3 linked regions of the Macaca mulatta genome follow. The protein of the gene in region 3 interacts with the protein of the main gene of each other region in a pairwise test. Links are inferred from orthologs where the notes say so. Each region holds a gene or a part of one and is shown on either strand. Other genes may lie near its edges. The genes, in order: CRYGC, CRYBB2 and CRYAB.

What was found.
Region 1: the proteins of CRYAB (region 3) and CRYGC interact in binary tests that used the Homo sapiens proteins (3 or more experiments, as listed by UniProt). The link is inferred for Macaca mulatta from reciprocal best matches to the Homo sapiens genes CRYAB and CRYGC.
Region 2: the proteins of CRYAB (region 3) and CRYBB2 interact in a two-hybrid assay, tested with the Homo sapiens proteins (2 studies listed by BioGRID and IntAct). The link is inferred for Macaca mulatta from reciprocal best matches to the Homo sapiens genes CRYAB and CRYBB2.

The regions. Positions count from the first base shown.
Region 1 is NC_133417.1:113,408,196-113,414,343, forward strand, and holds CRYGC (gamma-crystallin C), read right to left. Parts: upstream 3,927-6,148; 5' UTR 3,905-3,926; coding exon 3,896-3,904; intron 3,797-3,895; coding exon 3,554-3,796; intron 2,581-3,553; coding exon 2,308-2,580; 3' UTR 2,237-2,307; downstream 1-2,236. UniProt on the Homo sapiens protein: Crystallins are the dominant structural components of the vertebrate eye lens.
Region 2 is NC_133415.1:26,673,364-26,679,551, forward strand, and holds the end of CRYBB2 (beta-crystallin B2), read left to right. Parts: intron 1-78; coding exon 79-211; intron 212-1,707; coding exon 1,708-1,850; intron 1,851-3,600; coding exon 3,601-3,769; 3' UTR 3,770-3,866; downstream 3,867-6,188. UniProt on the Homo sapiens protein: Crystallins are the dominant structural components of the vertebrate eye lens.
Region 3 is NC_133419.1:112,656,483-112,663,143, forward strand, and holds CRYAB (alpha-crystallin B chain), read right to left. Parts: upstream 3,855-6,661; 5' UTR 3,822-3,854; coding exon 3,621-3,821; intron 2,831-3,620; exon of another isoform or gene 2,762-2,830; intron 2,540-2,761; coding exon 2,417-2,539; intron 1,068-2,416; coding exon 864-1,067; 3' UTR 725-863; downstream 1-724. Other genes in the region: HSPB2 (heat shock protein beta-2), read left to right, coding at 4,927-5,020, 5,528-5,982. UniProt on the Homo sapiens protein: May contribute to the transparency and refractive index of the lens. Has chaperone-like activity, preventing aggregation of various proteins under a wide range of stress conditions.

The sequences.
Region 1 (6,148 bases), on a different chromosome or scaffold from region 3:
TTTTCTTTTGTTTTGTTTTGATTGTTTTCTTCATCCCCATTGCTACATATAGCAGGCTCATGGTAGGTGCTCAAAAATTGGTAAGGATCCTAACTCAGAGAAGTTGAGTCTCTAGTGGCTAATAAATGGAGGATATTGAAATGGAAAATAAACTTGTGGCTGGGTGTGGTGGCTCACACCTGTAATCCCAGCACTTTTGGAGGCCAATGTGGGAGGATCACTTGAGCCCAGGAGTTTGAGACCAGCCCTGGCAACGTAGTGAGACCCCCTTTCTATAAAAAAGGAAAAAATTAGCTGGGCATGGTGGTGCACTCCTGTAGCCTCAGCTACTTAGGAAGCTGAGATGGAAGGATCATTGCTTGATCCTGGGAGGTCAAAGCTGCAGTGAGCTGTGTTTGTGCCACTGCACTCTATCCTGGACAACAGAGTGTGACCATGTCTCAAAAAATAAATAAATAAAATAAACTTGCAGTATGAGCCGGTAGTCTCACTTCTAGGTCACTATCTTTTTAAAATTATGGCACGTCAGGGTTAGCGTATATGTACAATGTCATTCTTTGCAGCATTGTTGGTCAAAGCAACATTGGGAAAGCCCAGTCACTTAAGTGGACAAATGGTGAAATGGTCTAAGGGACTTCCAAACAACAAGATGCAATTCAACCATGAAACAGAATAAGATACTGACCTAGATATATGTCCATATTATAATACATTTTAAAAGCCAGTTGCAGACTAATATATATAGCATGATTCCATTTTTGTAAAGAAAAGAAGCATGTGTTTTATGAGACAGCTATATAAACAAGGCGAAAATCCCAGAAGGGTGCTCACCAGCTATAAACAGGAGTTAGCAATGAGGGGCATCAGAAGGACTCCCTTCTACTTCTTTATAGAATTTGTACAGTAGTAAGATTATGGGAGGACTTTTACTTTGAAGGGAAATTTTTAAGTTAAAATAAATTAATTCTCTACTGATGAAAAAACTTGCAATTGCTTTCTTTTCTTTCTTTTTTTTTAAAAAAACTTTTTAGGGCTTTGCTTATGAGCAAGCAGATTTTAGTTTAATCAAAGGCTCCAGAAATTATGGCTTTCTTTAATGCACCTTTAAATTTGGGCCCGTTTTGTAATTACAGGACTTATTTATTTATTTTAACTTTTATTTTAGATTCAGGGGCACATATCTAGGTTTGTAATACAGGTAAATTGTGTGTTGTGGGGGTTTGGTGTACAGATTATTTTATCACCCAGGTGATAAGTATAGTACCTGACAGGTAGTTTTTCGATCCTCTCCAACCTGGAGGTATTTTGTTTTCTGTTCCTGTGTTAGTTTGCTTAGGATATTGGCCTCCAGCTCCACCTATGTTGCTGCAAAGGACAGGGTCTCATTCTTTTTTTATGGCTGCATAGTATTCCATTGTGTGTATGTACCACTTTGTAAAACCCAGCCTACCATTGATGGACATTTTGGTTGACTCCACGTCTTTGTTGTCGTGAATAGTGCTGTGATGAATATATACACATGTGTCCTTATGGCAGAACGATGTTTTTTGTAGTTACTTTTTATGTTTGGGGTACACTATACCATGCAAATCTATTTAAAAGATTGATATGTATCTCTTATTAATTTATTTGCAATAGCTGGTCACCATGAAACTGATGTGCAGTTTCTGTAATTAACACAGCATTTGGGCCAGGGGTAGTACTGACAAAGAGCTACAGTCCTGGACAGGAGTCATTTTCAAAAGGAGATGAATGGTGTTTAACTTTGTTCAAAGGTACAGCAGTGGCCGTGGTGGCTCTGGCATTACTAATACAATACTGTGCCTGAAAGTAAACAAAAGTACAATCCTTTGTATAGTCTAATCAGGCTGTCGGCCAAGTTAAGTGTGCCCTCACCACTCATCTGACTTTGCCTTTTGTCTGACCCACATTTTTGGTTAGAAGGAAAATTCCGAACTATTGTTCCTCAAGGTACTTAGTTGAATGCCTCCCTTCTCGCCAGTCAGCCTCTCCCAGGTCTCTGGCATTGCCCTGCCTTTTCTTTCTCAGGCAGGCTACACCCTGCCTCCACCCCAACTCACTCTACCTTGTTCAAACTCACTCTAGGCTTGTTCAAACTCACTCTACCTTGAAGCTCTTTTCCAACAGGACTGGTCTCCTGCCCATTCACTTCTTAACTTTTGACAAGGAAATTTAAAGGTGAACTGATTTGCACAATGAAAGAACGACAGAAGTCAGCAATTGCCAATAATGCAGACTAAATCTTTATTAGGTTCCAAAATGGGAAATTGGTAGTGTTAAGCTATTTCAGTATAAATCCACCACTCTCCGCAAAGAGCCAGCCTTAGCATCCATGGCCCCCCAGTCCTGGCACCGCCTGTACTCTTGGGGCCTCAGCAGGTATTGGCGCCCCCGGTAGTTGGGCAGCTCGTAGAGGACCCAGCAGCCCTCCAGCACGTGGAGGGAACGGATCTCGCTGAGGTGGAAGCGGTCCTGGATGCTGGGGCAGTCCTCACTCAGCTCCATCATGAGGCCTTTGTGGTCTTCTCTCTCGTACAGCCGCAGCCTGTGGGAGCCTGTCTACTCGGTCCGCAGAAAGAAGGATAGAGAAAAGCAAATGAGTCTCTTCCGGAATTTGTCCAACCAAAGAACAGATGAACTTGGTAGGGTGGGGCATGGAATTGTCAATGTCAAATTTAGACAGTGTAAAATGTAGATTACTGTGGATGCTGCGCATGGATCTGTCTTCCACTAGCACCTAAATACTGCTATGCTCATTTTCTTTTTGACCTGAAATTCATTCTTATTTAGGAGATGGAATTTTTAAGAGGTTCAAACGCTGAGTTAGAATCCATCAAGAGCTCAGATATCTTGATTCCTAATTACCTGTGTTAATTCAAACTACATTTTGGGGAAAAAATAGAAATAATTTATTTTGACTAGTATTCTTTTAGTAAGAGTATTATCTCCCAAATTTATAAACATATAAATTTACCACTAAAGTAAGATTTAAAAAATCTTGTACTTCAGTGTAAAGTTAATTTAAATAGTCATTTGGAATGAGAATTTAACTGATTTTCCAAATTAAGAAAAATTACCTTTTCCAAAGTTGGACACAACCTTTGAATAGCCTATATTAACAATACAGCTTTGAAGGTTTACTTGTCCACAGTGGAACCTATCTAATTAATTCATCAGAAATTCTTTTTCTATAGGCAAAACAATTTGTTAAAAATATCGTCTTTGTATGCCCAACCAGCTTCCCATTTGCAAGTTTTGTTTTATATCCCATTATGATATTACATTTGTTACAGACCACTTTTAATTGACTTATTGGTAGCAAAAATTTAAAGTAAAACGGATTCTCCCTCTAAGTGGGTTCTTCCTTACATTTCTCTGCTGTTTTTGTCCATGTTATCTATCTGGCTTATGCAGGTCTCTGATGTCCATCTAACCCTTAGGAGTTTTTAAATGCAAACCTCCCTCCCTCTAACCCACATTGACCATACAGTGGGGACACTCCGGCGGCATGATGGAAATCTAGAAAACTCACCTGGGGGATGAGACAACAGGAGCGGATGGAGTCGCTGAGGCCCATCCATTGCTGGTAGTCAGGGTACTCCCCTCTCCGCAGCAAGTATTGTTGACCTTGGTAGTTGGGACGCTCATAGAGCATCCAGCAGCCACTTTCCACCCGGATGGAGTTGCAGCGGCTTAAATACGTCTGCAGGTTGGGGCAGTCAGTGGTGGATTCGTAGCTGCGGCCCTGGAAGGCCTTGTCCTCATAGAGGGTGATCTGCAAAGGAAGAATCGTTCCAAATTGCATTATTTGCTCTTAACAGGCATTATATAACGGCAATTTTTTTTTTCATTTTATTTTTTGTGTTCTGCTTACCTTCCCCATGGCTGGTTGACACGGATGATGCGAGTTCAGTGTGATGGGGCCTGCGGCCGCACAGCCAGTCTATATAGCAGGATGGCTGCTGCGTTGGCAAGAACAACACAAAAGGGGCCCTCGGCGGTAAGGGGATTTTACGCATCTCTTTAACATGCTGCATTCACTGGAAATGATTGTAGATTGTGTCCTTGTTCTCTGGTATATTCTAACGCTGTCCTGCACATACTGCTCTGTGTTGCTTTTATTTGGATTGTTACTGTTTTCTAAATTTATCTGCGCATCAGTCTGAACTTTTGACCCGAAATTCATGGCTCTCTCTATATGATTGAGTAATTTCCTGTGAATTTTCTGGGAAAGATCTATGCCATTATAGAATCGCTCCAGGATTCCAGAGAGGTTGTTGATGTAGAATGCCACAAACACTGACTCATTTCCCTGGATGGTAGAGACTGCTGTACCTTAAATTTTTGTCTTTACGCAGTTTTCCAGTCCAGGGCAGGACACAAATCTAGATGCATGTCTTGGCTAGTTTTGACTTCGTTAACCCAATGCTTTAAGACAGCTCTTAACCTTGCCTTTCGTGGGCACGTCATCTAACTAGAAGTCAGTCCCTGGTGGTGAACTTATGATAACAAGCAAGGGAAAGGTTTCTGTGGTCACTGGGCCTGAGACTGAGAAGTACTGTATCCTACTTTATAGATTGCTTTCCCTTCTTCAAGCGTGAGGGAGGCCGTAAAGCTTCACCGGCAAGAGCGTGAGCTTTGGACTCAGGCCACCTGCACTCAGAAGGCCCACTGATTAGCTCCATGGCAAATTACATAACCACTCAGAGCATGAGTTATCTCATGGACTACAGTCTGATTAATGAGAAATAAAGTGAGACAAGAGGGCAGCCTCTGACATTCAGATGCTGGCCTGGCACTCACAGTGAGGACATGTTACTCCCCTGTTAGACATAAACAGTCTCACAGAATAACAACTTCAGACAAGGCTACTCCGAGACCATGATGAAATGAGATACAATAAAGCCACTTCTTAACTTTGCCTAAGCGCAGACAAAAACAAAGTCAATGCTACACTCTCAAAATCCCAAGCCCTCACTCTCTCAGCCAAAATGATTAACTGCTACTTCTTTATGGATTACAGGTTTATCCGTGTTCTAGTCTCCCTTCCCTACGGGTAAGATTTCTTGAGATAACTAATCACAAAATTAACCCTGCTTTCTGCTAACATCTAATCTAGAGTGAACTTCAGATTTTTAAGATCCTCCCCCAAATCACACAACTGAAGTGCAAATCCTATTAACAATTTCTTTATAAGCTCTCTACTGAGACACTCCATGCTTCCCCAAGGAGAACTTACTCCCTTGCTGCAACAAATAATAAGCTCAACTTGTTTAAAGACAGGTGTGTCCCTGGTGGCCTTTAGCTAAAGGATATTGACATGAATAAGTGGGATTATGTGTATAAAGCATTTGGCACATACTTGGCACAAATGAACACTGAATATATGTTGTTATTAGTAATAGAGTGACATCGTTAAGGCTGACTTTATCCTGTTTATCTCTCTCAAAGGTATTTAATCCTTTCAAAGATTCCTGAAAAAAATTTATCCTCTGTAAAGCCATTTTGTGATTAAAGAAAAATTAGGCTTGGAAGGGACTTCAGAAACCATCAGGCGGTTTTCAAACTCGAGTGTGCCTAAGAATCACCTGGCATGTCAAAACCGCAAATTACCATCTTGACCTTTTGGCCAAATCCTGCATCATTAGATCAGGAGAAGACCTCAGAACCTATATTTTTATTTTTTATTTTATTTAATTTATTTTATGTTTTGAGACGGAGTCTCACTCTGTTACCCAGGCTGGAGTGCAGTGGTGCGATCTCAGCTCACTGCAGCCTCCGCTTCCTGGGTTCAAGTGATTCTCCTGCTTCAACTTCCTGAGTAGCTGAGATTATAGGCGTGCGTCACCACATGCAGCTAATTTTTGTATTTTTAGTAGAGACAGGGTTTCGCTATGTTGGCCAGGATGGTCTCAAATTCCTGACCTCAGGTGATCCACCCAGCTCGGTCTCCCAAAGTGCTGGGATTACAGGCATGCGCCACCGTGCCCAGCCCAGAACCTATATTTTTAATAAGCACCAAATAGTTCTTGGGCCAAAACACTGCTGTGGTTTATCCCTTTATATTTTGACAAGGAAATCATGTATTTTAGCCATCCCCAGGCAATGCCTTATTAGGAATTGTACT
Region 2 (6,188 bases), on a different chromosome or scaffold from region 3:
ACGTGAGTAGCCAGGATCCTGCCATAGGAAGCTTGGAGTGGAACTGACCTGCCCCCTTTCTCTCTGTCTCCATGGCAGCTGGGTGGGCTATGAACAGGCCAACTGCAAGGGCGAGCAGTTTGTGTTTGAGAAGGGCGAGTACCCCCGCTGGGACTCGTGGACCAGCAGCCGCAGGACAGACTCCCTCAGCTCCCTGAGGCCCATCAAAGTGGTGAGCCCCCTGCCATCATCCTACTTTCTCTCTCTGCCCATCATCCTACTTTCTGTCTTTGCCACCTTGGAGCCGGAGGTCCTGAGACCAGGAAAGAGCCTGCCCCTCTAGCATTGTGCCCCTTCTGATTGGTGAGGAACCTCCTCACTGGGTGACCTTGCAAAAGTCATTTTACTTCCCTGAGCCTCAGTTTCTTCATCTGTAAAATGGGCATATTGGTATCTACTGTCCTGAGATTCCAATGTGCTTATTAGCTTGAGGGTTGTCACGCTGCGCAACTCCAGGGGTCTCCAATCACAAGACTATGAAATGCCCCAGAGGGCACTATTCACATTCTGTTTTACGTGGTTGGTGCCCCCCACCCCGCAGGGTTGGGCAACTCCCATCACAGAGTCATTGCTCAATAATCAATAGCCATCAGAAATACAAGAAATTCTGAGTTCAGGACTGGAGGAGAAGGTGGTTTAGCTCTTCTTCAAGACTCGTGCCAGTGTGAGTTTTCAGTGCTTCTGAGATCCCGAGTCTTACTAGTGTGTGAGTGTGTAAACTGTCGGGGAGGGGACAGGGCCCATCACTGCTCAGTTACACTCCCAAACCCTCCAAGCCCAGTCTAGCTCCTCCCAGGACCTACTGGAAGGTTGGAGAACACTGGACTTCACACCCCACAGACCCAGGTTCCCATGTTGGCTGTGCTGCTCCCATCTGTGTGGCCTTGAGCACGTCATTTGACCTCTCTGTGCCTCATTTTTCTCATCTGCCAAATGGCATAAAAGGATTTTATGTCTAAGGGATAAGGGTTTTCTTATCTGAAAATCTTATCTTAAACTGAAAATGTTTAAAGGATTAGATAACTAAGGAAAATGTTACAGGAACAGGAGGATGGGAAGAGATGTAGAAATGAAGAAAAATCAAAATATCTCAGGTGCCTATTAGAGGCACAATTAGCCTGTGCATGTGTGTGTGTGCCTGCCTGTGTGTGCATGTGTGTGCACGTGTGTGTGTGCGTGTGTGCCTGTGTGTGCTTGTGTGTGTGTGCGCGTGTGTGTGCACGTGTGTGTGCATGTGTGTGTGCGCATGTGTGGGTGTGCGTGTGTGTGTGCGCCTGTGTGCATGTGTGTGTGTGCATGTGTGTGCCTGTGTGTGTATGCCTGTGAGTGTGCCTGTGTGTGCATGTGTGGGTGTGCACTTGTGAGTGGGTGGTAGATTGTAGCTGCCATTTATAAAAGAGAAACTTGAGGCATAGGAGGAAAAAATGACATTTCAGAATCAAATATTCCCCAAAGTGTCAGAGTGTCTGTTACATGAAAATGGCCCAGTAGAAACTTAACAAATGGCTGCGATCCAACAGCAGTTGTCATAGACACGTGGTAGGTGCACTGGGCAGAGAGTGATGTGTGGGACATGCGGATCCCAACTCTGGGGCATGAGCATGGGGTGGGAAGGCCAACCCTGGGCCCCGTCACTCATACTCACTTCCCCACATCCTCTGCCAATAGGACAGCCAAGAGCACAAGATCATCCTCTATGAAAACCCCAACTTCACCGGGAAGAAGATGGAAATCATAGATGACGACGTACCCAGCTTCCACGCCCATGGCTACCAGGAGAAGGTGTCATCTGTGCGGGTGCAGAGTGGCACGTAAGCGCATTGCCAGCCCTGGCTCACCCTGCCCCAGGAACTGAGACTCTCGGGTCCTAAGTCCTGCTCTGCCCTGTGTACACTGGTGATCTTGCACACATCAGTGTACTCTGCTGACCTCTGGCTTCCCACTGGAAAGTAAATGGGAATTCTCTGTCCACAGGTAGCTTACAGCCCCTGAATTTCTCTCTAGAGCTGCCTTTGGGGAAATGGCCTTTGGAGTGGAGAAACCTTGGCCTTTACCTCAGCCCCAGTGAGCAAGACATGTATGTCAGAGGGGCAAGTTGAGGCAGAGGGAGGATTAGGTTGAGGCAGGAGGGAAGGAATGAGTTAAGTAGTCTGAAAGCTGAGAAGCAGGAGGACCAGCCCATGCTGCCTTTGACCGCATGTGTCCCTAAGTTTGGGAACAGGAGGTGTCATTTTCCTCTGAATGGAAGTTCCTGGGCACATCGACCCTGGCCATCAGCAATGGGGGATTTCTCATGGTAAAAAATTTGGATTCCATGGGGGGTCCACAGATGAGCTTTGGGCAGCAGTGTGTTGGAAATAGCTTATATCAGCCTTTTTTAAATTTTTTTTATTTTTTTTTAATTGAGATGGGGTCTTGCACTGTCGCCCGGGCTGGAATGCAGTGGAACAATCTTGGCTCACTGCAGCCTCCGCCTCCCAGGTTCAAGCAATTCTCCTGTCTCAACCTCCCAAATAGCTGGGATTACAGGTGCCCACTACCAAGCTCAGCAATTTTTTTTTTTTTTTTTTTTTTTTTTTTGAGACGGAGTCTCGCTCTGTCGCCCAGGCTGGAGTGCAGTGGCCAGATCTCAGCTCACTGCAAGCTCCGCCTCCCAGGTTTATGCCATTCTCCTGCCTCAGCCTCCCGAGTAGCTGGGACTACAGGCGCCCGCCACCTCGCCCGGCTAGTTTTTTGTATTTTTTAGTAGAGATGGGGTTTCACCGTGCTAGCCAGGATGGTCTCGATCTCCTGACCTCGTGATCCGCCCGTCTCGGCCTCCCAAAGTGCTGGGATTACAGGCGTGAGCCACCGCGCCCGGCCGAGAAAAGATTCTTGAGCTGAGATCTCAAGAAACAGTAGGAATTGCGGGGGTAAAGAGGCCAAGCAAGAGCGTCCCAGACAATGAGAGCAGCATGTGCAAAGGCCCTGTGGTGCATGTGGGGGGAGCCTGGTAGGTCTGAGAAACTCTACAAAGGCCACTGGCTGGACTGCAGAGATGTGGGAGCATAAGAATGCGAAGGTAGTGCTGGATATGTCCATAGAGACTGGCCAGGCAGGTCCTTGCAGGCCAGGCCTGTGTGACATTTTCTGGAGAGAAGACCAGTACTTTCATTAAGTAGCCCCTGGAACCTCTTTCATCAGAAGACCCCTGGAACCTCCCCCAACTGTTTGGCCTTGCAGCTGGGCTTGGAGGTGGGATAGCAGTGGATGGAGATGGTTCAAAGGTCTGACTTATTCTAAACTTCAGTGAGCTTAAGATACCACCCCCTTGCTCTGACCCCAGTACCAGGCCTTCAGTCAAAATTTGCTTCAGGAGGCAGTGAGCTCCCCATTAAGAGAAGGAAGAAAGCAGTGCTGGAAGGGTGGGGTGGAAAGGGTGTCCTGCTTACTCCTGGGAAGTGGCAATGGTTGGGAGGCTTCACCCTTCCTAGTGGCTTATGGATGCTCTCTCCCCTCGCTTCTCTCTTGTTTCTCTTCCTGTTCCCCCGGTTCACCCTCCCCTCACCTCTGGTCCTGCAGGTGGGTTGGCTACCAGTACCCCGGCTACCGCGGGCTGCAGTACCTGCTGGAGAAGGGAGACTACAAGGAGAGCAGCGACTTTGGGGCCCCTCACCCCCAGGTGCAGTCTGTGCGCCGCATCCGCGACATGCAGTGGCACCAACGTGGCGCCTTCCACCCCTCCAACTAGTACCCTCCCCACCATGCCTCTTTCCCAGGACCCAGACCTGCTGCCCAGGAACCCTCCAGACCAACCAGAGAGTGAATAAAGTGTGACTTGCAACTTGTCTGCTGTGGGTCTCTGATCCCCCCAGCAGCTGGGGTGTGTGTGTGTGTGTGTGTGTGTGTGTGTGTGTGTGAGAGAGAGAGAGAGAGAGAGAGAGAGAGAGAGAGAGAGACAGCGAGAGAGAAATGAGAATCAGCATGTATCTGGGCTAGGAGTAGGGCAACAGAACCCTTAATTGAATCTTACAGTTCTGCAGCTGCTTAGCTGTGTGACCTTGGACACAGTGCCCAACCTCTCTGAGCCTTTATTTCTTCATCTGACTTGAAATTCCCTTGCCTCTGAGTGGCTGGCTTGGTTGAGCTCCTGAGCCCCCTGTTACATGCTGGTTGCTGAGCACAGTCATTCTCAGGGGCATGTGATGGGTGCCCCAGCCCTTAAAAACGTGTTCACTGCCCGCCATTCTCACATTATCACATTATCCCCTTGAGTCTGGGAGTCTTTTTTGATTTGCAAGAGAAGCCAAGAACCCTGAATCCCCCACTCCAGCCCAGGGAGAGGTCAGAATGCCACGTTTGTGAGTGTGTTCATTCATTCATCATATGGCTGCGGGCAACTGTTAGTAATTTAAGAATCTACACATCTAAGCTACTTCAATGAGGAAGAGACTACTGAGCTGTGAGGATCTTGGCTGTAGCCAGGCTCAAGGTGATGCAATGATCTGGGAATGAAGGCTGGTTTATACTGCTGTTCTGGGCCATTGGCCAGGGATAGAGGCTCAGGCAAGTCCTTTTGCCTTCAGAGCTTTGATGCTTCTACTCAGGAAGATGGGAGAGAAACAGTACCTTCCTAATGGGATTGCGACAAGGCTGAAACGAAATGCTGCAGGCCTTCTGTCTTTAGACTCAGCTTTTGTTGGTTAATATGCAGTGCAAATATCTGCTTCCTGGGTGCAGCCTCTTGCCACTTTGTTTTTGGTATCTCTTGATACCATTTTAAATTTTAATGTAGTCAAACAGCAATATTTTCCTTTAGGGTTTATGCCTTTCACATCTCCTTGAAGAAATTCTTTCTTCTTCCTTTTTTTTTTTCCCAAGACAGAGTCTTGCTCTGTTGCCCAGGCTGGAGTGCAGTGGTACAATCTTGGCTCACTGCAACCTCCGCCTCCCGGGTTCAGCAGTTCTCCCGCTTCAGCCTCCCGAGTAGCTGGATTACAGGCATGCACCACCATGCCCGCCTAAATTTTGTATTTTTAGTAGGGGTTTCACCATGTTGGCCCGGCTGGTCTTGAATCCCTGAACTTGTGATCCGCCTGCTTTGGCCTCCCAAAGTGCTGGGATTACAGGAGTGAGCCACTATGCCCGGCCAACCTTGAAGAAATTCTTTCTAATCCCTGGTTACAAAGAAATTGCCCAATATATTTTTTTCCCTAAACTTTTAAAACTTTTGCTCTTCACATTTGCGTTCTTAATCCTTCTGGAGCTGATTCTTGCATGTAGTGTATGGTAGAGATTCAGTTTCCTTTTCTTTTTTTTTCCACTTTGGACATCCGATGTCCTAAAATCATTCATGAAGGAGTCCATTTGCTGCACTGCAGCGCAGTCACCTTGCTGATCCATCCCCTTCCCCATAGATGGGGTGATTTTATGGGCTGTCTTTTCTGTTCCTATAGTCAGTGTATCCCCGCACTTTGCCACTTTATGTTCATGACTACTGCTTTGTAGTCAGTGTTGAGGTCCCTAAAACAGGGGCCCTGAAACCCTGGGTCTCCCATGGCCGGAAATGGGGGTTGCACAACAGGAGGTGGGCATTGCAGCCTGAGCTCCGCCTCCTGTCAGACCAGCGGAGGCATTAGATTCTCACAGGAGTGCAAACCCTATTGTGAATTGTACATGCAAAGGATCTAGGTTGCATGCTCCAATGAGAATCTAACGTCCGCTGCCCACAGCCCATGAAAAAGTGTCTTCCACAAAATCGATCCCTGGTGCCAAAACATTTGGGGACCACTGCCCTATAACATGATTCTTCAGGAATGTTTTAGAAATTCTCGCCCCTTTAGGACTCCATTTAGAAGCATCCCCTCACATTTGGAAAAGTGGAAAACCTTGTTGAATGAACTAAAGTGGTTCAAATGATTATCATAAAGGTAGAAACCAGTAAGTGCTCCATATACATCATGGAATACTATGCAGCCATAAAAAAGAATGAGTTCATGTCCTTTGCGGGGACATCGATGAAGCTGGAAACCGTCATTCTCAGCAAACTGACACAGGAACAGAAAACCAAACACCGCATGTTCTCACTCATAAGTGGGAGTCGAACAATGAGAACACATGGACACAGGGAGGAGAACATCACACATTGGGGTTTGTCAGGGGTGGGGAGC
Region 3 (6,661 bases):
ACATTCTCATATAAGCATGAATCCTATTGTGAACTGCACACGTGAGAGATCTAGCTTGTGTACTCCTTATGAGAATCTAATGCTTGAATCATCCCGAAACCATCCCCTGCTCCCCCGGGGCCACGGGAAAAATTGTCTTCCACAAAACCAGTCCCTGCTGCCAAAAAGGTTGGGGGCCACTGATTTAGCCTATACCTCAGAGCTTGTTAGGTGATAATCACCCAAGTCCTGCTTATTGCCCTTGTAAATCAGCTTAAGGCAATACTTATCAATAGGAAAACGTCAAACAATATTAGGGTCACCATGTCTTCCCTGATGATGTAATTAATTTTAGAGATGCAGTAAGGCCTTTTATGTAGCATTATCCAGAGTTCATTCAGATGTGTTCCAGTCCTTTAAACTGAGGGCTAAAATCAAAGAGGGCAGAGACAGAGTAACTAATATTCCTTGAACTCTGCCAGGGGCTTTTCCTGCTTCTTCTCCTTAATTTACTTCCTATAATAGCTCTGTACAACTCAGTAACCCATGTTATAAATGGAAAACCTGAAGACCAGAAAGGTTAAGCAACTTGCCTAAATTTATATCATTAGTAAATGGTGGAGCCAGTCATTCTGACTCTAAAATCCTTGGAGCCCTCTAAATCATAATGCAATCATAAATAGATCTGTGGTATCCGTACATTTATTTAAAAGTGTGTGGAATATTCAAACACAAGACAGTTATCTGTTGCTGAATGATATTTTATTAGCTTGATAATTTGGGCCTGCCCTTAGCATTAATAAGCTTCAGCACTAGTCACAAGACTTTCATTCACTGGCGGGGAAACTTTCTTGTTTTAAAAAATGCAATTCAAGAAAGGGCATCTATTTCTTGGGGGCTGCGGTGACAGCAGGCTTCTCTTCACGGGTGATGGGAATGGTGCGCTCAGGGCCAGAGACCTGTTTCCTTGGTCCATTCACAGTGAGGACCCCATCAGATGACAGGGATGAAGTAATGGTGAGAGGGTCCACATCAGCTGGGACCCGGTATTTCCTGTGGAACTCCCTGGAGATGAAACCATGTTCATCCTAACCCAAAAGAATGAGGAAAGAGGCAGAGAGATAAGAATATGAACTACTATCACCTGCCCAGAACTCAGGCATCCTGATTTCCCCTTAGGTGAGACCAAATGCCATGACAACATAGGAAAAATAAACAGTGCTTTGTTTCAGGGTTGTGGCTAAGATGAAGTTACCTAGGTAGTCACTCCTACCAGTGAGAATCTGAGAAGTCTGAAACAGTACAACACTTCATTGTTTTTCAAACCCTGAGGCATAGATATGTTTAGGAGTATTTCCCAAAGGTTTAGATAATGTTGACTGGGCCTACAGAATTTGGAATCTCATTTAGAATCTGAGTCCCTGAGGAAGCCCTGAAATTGTCCTGACTCTTCAGGAATGTCCCAGAAGGTTCCAGAACAATAGGACTGCTGCTGGGGAAAAAAAAAAAAAAAAAAAAAAAAAAAAAAGACTCCATCCAAGGAGACTATGACCCAAACCTAAATCATATGAGCAAAATTGAAACAGCCTGAGGACATTACTAAGGACAAACTGTACTGGTTGACGCACAGGTTCTGAGCTATCGCTGAGCTATCGTTAATTGGTGAGAAGGAATTTTAAAGCCCTCTTACAAAGTCATGAAAAGCTGTTCCATTCGTCAGAATTCCCCCAAAGAGTAGATGACCTTAACCCGTATGCCTGCTGACTCTCAAGCATGTAGCCAAACAGGCTCTCATTAACTGATTTCCGCATGGGCTATAGGGGATTAAAGACTGAGCACAGCTCTGAAATTTAGACAAACCAAGTAGTTCAGCATTAAGATGGGCTAAAGAAGAGACATGGATTCTTGCACAGCTAACAGAGAATTCACAACTCAAGTGCCTTTAGGGTACCTGTAGTTAATGTAATTATGCAAAGCAACTAGGTGTCTGACAGCCCTATACCTAAATCAGTGGTCCTCAACCTTGACTGTAGATTAGAATTACCTTAAAAAATGTTGATGCCCTGGGTCCCACCCCTAAAAATTCTGATTTAATTGGTCTGGAATATGCCTGAGCATTAGGTTTTTTGAAAGTTCCCCTGGTGATTCTAATGTGGCCAAGATTCAGAACCTCTGGCTAAGATGGGGCATCAACATCCCATCATCCCATCTAAGGCGATCAAATCAAACAAAGACCACATCTCTGGCCATAACAACAGTAACAACAGCAATAGGTCTATCCCTAACTTAGTCTTCTAGACATTGATTTGTAACCCCTGATCTAGACTATTATAGCTTGGGACTGGAATGTAGCCAGCCTCCAAAGCTGATAGCACTACCTGGACTATTACAGTATACACTGAATGAATGAGCAGAAAACAAAAACCAAGCTACATACCTGGCGCTCTTCATGTTTGCCATGCACCTCAATCACATCTCCCAACACCTTAACTTTGAGTTCCTCTGGGGAGAAGTGCTTCACATCCAGGTTGACAGAGAACCTGTCCTTCTCCAGGCGCATCTAGAAATAGCAAGGTAAGGGAATGGGACGGGAGAAAGATGGCGAAAGTACTCATTATACTGGTGTTGTCTTATTCTGCAGAGTTGCTTTCTGTCCAGGTAATTCATCCTTCTCTTTTCTGCTTTAAAATATCCCCTTTTTAAATAAACATGGCTCTCTGCTTCAGGGAGCCACCACAGTGATACCTAAGGCTCATGGTGATCAGACCCAAACTTTATTTACAGGGACAGAGAAGAAGACAGATCACCCAGGGGACCAGTCGCAAGGATGGGTGCAGGCCTGGCATCTGCTGCCTCTCTGGCTCCGATGCCTGGCTTTGTGGTTTGTCTGTGAGACAAAGGCCTCTTCTTCTGGCTCAGGTCTCTTTGCCAGTTTTCCACCCACCCAATCTGGAATGTTCTGCTGGTCCTGCTTGTCCTTCCAAAGCCCTTGCCCACTCATCTCCTGTTTACTCACACTCGAATATTTTTAAACCAGAGCGTTATCTGTGACAGCTTCTGTCAACCTTATATGTTCACCCTGTTCTCTCACCCTCTTAGGACGAGTGGGGGTCCCTATATTGTTTCCTCATAAGGCTTGGTTGGACCCAGGCCAATGCCCTGTCACAGCCCTGAGAAACCCAGAAAATCACAGAAGAGGGAATAAAAAGGCAGAAAATGCCCATGAGGGTGAACAGCTCAGGCAGGGTGAGGCAGGGCTCTCTCCTGGCTCTGACACCTGAGATGGTAAAATTGGTCAAGAGTCCATGGTGTTAGAAGAGATGAGCAAAGGAGTTTGAAGGCAGCTCTTTCCCTGCAGATTGTTATGAACCAAACCAGAAAGGGGTACCCTGCAGAGAAGTTAGGGGATGGAGGATGAACTTGACAGTGCATGAAAAAAATGTAATAAATGGGATACAGAGGACCATCAAGTAGAAACAGGTGACGGGGGAGGGAGGAACTAGCAACCTCCTCATTTTTCTTCACATTTGGATACACATGTGCCTAAAATGGTTTAGGCAGGAAAGGAGAGGAAAATGGATGGAGAAGTTTACAGGAGGTTCCAGTAAGGACTCTCCCATTCTAGCAGTGGGGAGACTCACCTCTGAGAGTCCAGTGTCAAACCAGCTGGGTGCCCGCAGGAAGGAGGGTGGCCGAAGGTAGAAGGGGCTCAGGGAAGTAGACGTCGGGAAAAGATCAGACTCCAACAGGTGCTCTCCGAAGAACTGGTCAAAGAGGCGGCTGGGGGAGTGGAAAGGAAAGAAGGGGCGGCGGATCCAGGGGTGGTGGATGGCGATGTCCATGGTGGCTAGGTGAGTGTGGGGGGTCAGCTGGCTGGTCAGCTCCTTCAGCTGCAGCTACAGCCAGCCCCTTATATATGCAGTCTTGTGAAGCTTCTGGAATGGTGATGTCAGGGGTTTTATTATCCTAGCTCACCGCCGGTTCATGGAGACTTGTGATCGGGGATTTGGCAGTGTGACACATACCCAGTACTCACTGAGCTAAGAAAAGAGAAACACAAACACGTCTGAGCCGGCCAGTGACTTGTCATGGTCTTGTTTCACTAGCTTTCTGTACACACCCAGTGGCACCCACCCCCACCCCAGTTCTCTGAAGCTGGTACAGAGTCAGGAATCCCAAGCAGGCACGCGGGCGGGTGGGGGGGCAGGCGGTGGAGTGTGCCCCTCCTCCTCCTCCTCTTCAGTCCTGAATGCCAGGGGAATCAGGCCAGCAACTATCTTGGGCCTGGGCAGGGACTGGAATCTTCCTAGGCTGGGCCCCAGGGACATTAACTCTTTGTGAGTCCTTGGAAGAGAGCAGTGATGGTCAACATGTCAGTACCAGCCATCTGCCTCCTGCCCTGGGTTGACCTGGGTTTAGGAGAGGACTCCGACATCTGGGCAGAAAGACCCCACTCCCTGAAAAAAAGAGCAGAAAGATTTCTTGCATCTTTCATCCTATGTGGCTCTCAGAACATTAAATCCAGGAGTGCTTTAGGAATTGGGTGCACAGTGCCGGCCTCCAAGGAGGAGAAAATGAGGTGTGGAAACGTGCAAACCGTTTGTGAGGGTCTCAGCGAGGCCTCTTCATGCCCCAGGCACCACCAGCTACCCCTTCTCAGCTCGTTCCTAACCAGGACCCTCAGCTGTCCTCTCAGGCCCCCTGCGACAGCTGAAGAGTGTGCGGGGGAGGGGACTAGGGGTCCAGGCGGCGCTGGTCACACCCTCGTTGCTCTCACTCAGGGCCCCCACTCCCCGCCCCTCCCCCCCAGAGGCTCGGCACTATTTTGGGTGGTGTCGACCCCGCCCCCACCTCCTATCGAGCCCTGGCTCTCCGGGCAGCTGGAGGGGTCGCGCTGCGCCTGTTGGGGCTGCACCTCGGACCAGGGCTCCCGCTGCATCTGCAGCCATGTCGGGCCGCTCAGTGCCACATGCCCACCCAGCCACCGCTGAGTACGAATTTGCCAACCCGAGCCGCCTGGGTGAGCAGCGCTTCGGAGAAGGTATGGCACAGATGCCACCCCCTTGCCTCCCACCCCCACCCCCTGAAATTCTGGGCTGACCTCCCAACGTTACTGGCCTCCACCCCACTCTGGGCTTAACTGATCTCCTGGGACCAGCCACCCCCCACCCCAGACTCCCTCTCATCCCCTCCAAGCAGAGCTCTTTCCCATTCCTGCTGACCTCAAGACACACTTGGTGCTTGCAGTGCTGCTACCTGCCCTTTGCCCGCCTGGGTGTGCCTCCTTGTCCCCCTTCTATCAACCAGGCCATTTGGTGCCTCCTCCTCCCCCCGCTTCTCCTCCTCCTCCTCCCTTTCCTTTCCGTTCTCTTTCCCCTCTTCCCAGCTGCCTTCTCCTCCTAGCTACTGTGTGGCCTCCTTCCCGTTCCCCACTCCTCCTGACTCCCCTCTTGCTCTTCCCAATCCCTCCTCTCCAGATTTCCCATTTCGCCCCTGTGCCAGCCTCATCCTCCCTCATCCTGCCTCTTGCGTTCTCTCTGCCCCTTAGGCCTCCTTCCAGAAGAGATCCTGACCCCCACACTCTACCATGGCTACTATGTCCGGCCTCGGGCCGCCCCAGCTGGGGAGGGCAGCAGGGCAGGGGCCTCCGAGCTTAGGCTCAGTGAGGGCAAGTTCCAGGCATTTCTGGATGTGAGCCACTTTACCCCAGACGAGGTGACTGTGAGGACTGTGGATAACCTGCTGGAGGTGTCTGCCCGGCACCCCCAGCGCCTGGACCGCCACGGCTTCGTGTCCCGAGAGTTCTGCCGCACCTATGTCCTGCCTGCTGATGTCGACCCCTGGCGGGTCCGAGCTGCTCTCTCCCATGATGGCATCTTAAACCTGGAAGCGCCTCGGGGTGGCCGACATTTGGACACAGAGGTCAATGAGGTCTACATCTCCCTGCTCCCTGCGCCTCCTGATCCAGAGGAAGAGGAGGAGGCAGCCATAGTTGAGCCCTGATTGCCACAGACCCAGCACCCAGCAAATCCCTCTCTACCTCCCATGGTGATATGGGCAGCTGCCCACCACTCCAGAGGTAGCAGCGTCCTTGGGGGAAAGGAAAGGTGCATGGTCTACAATGTATGGTTTGGTCCCATGGGACGTGTCATAGCCTTGGTTTAGTTTTGGGTGGAGCCGAATAAACCCAAATCTCAGGGCCTTGTTTGTGCTGCTCCCTATTCTGTGGCCGGCAAGCTGGGATGGGGAGGGAGGGAGGCGGTCACAGCCAGCTAGACAAAAAGTTCCTCAGTTTGATGTGCCTAACGTCATAGGACCCTGAGCTCGCACTTGGATACTGAGATCATACCCGGAAGCTGACGCTGGCTCCAGATCAAATTCCTAGCCGTGATTTTCTCACAATGCAACAAAAGAGAGAGTGATCCTGGGAGAGAAAAGGGATATGCCATCCAAACAGCCCAGAGGGCACTGTCTGAGCTGGTGATTAGAGACACAAAAACAAGGGTCTCCAGACTGTCTGGCCCGTTTTGGGTAGGGGCTGGGAAAATGGTTTTTGGCTGATGAGAGTTGCCTAAAGCCCTGGAGTAAATACTTTGTTTTCATGTACTAAGGTCTGTCCACTGAAATGGTCACTGATTTTGAGAGCCCGAGTATGCATACACAGGGGCACAGACACAAAGCC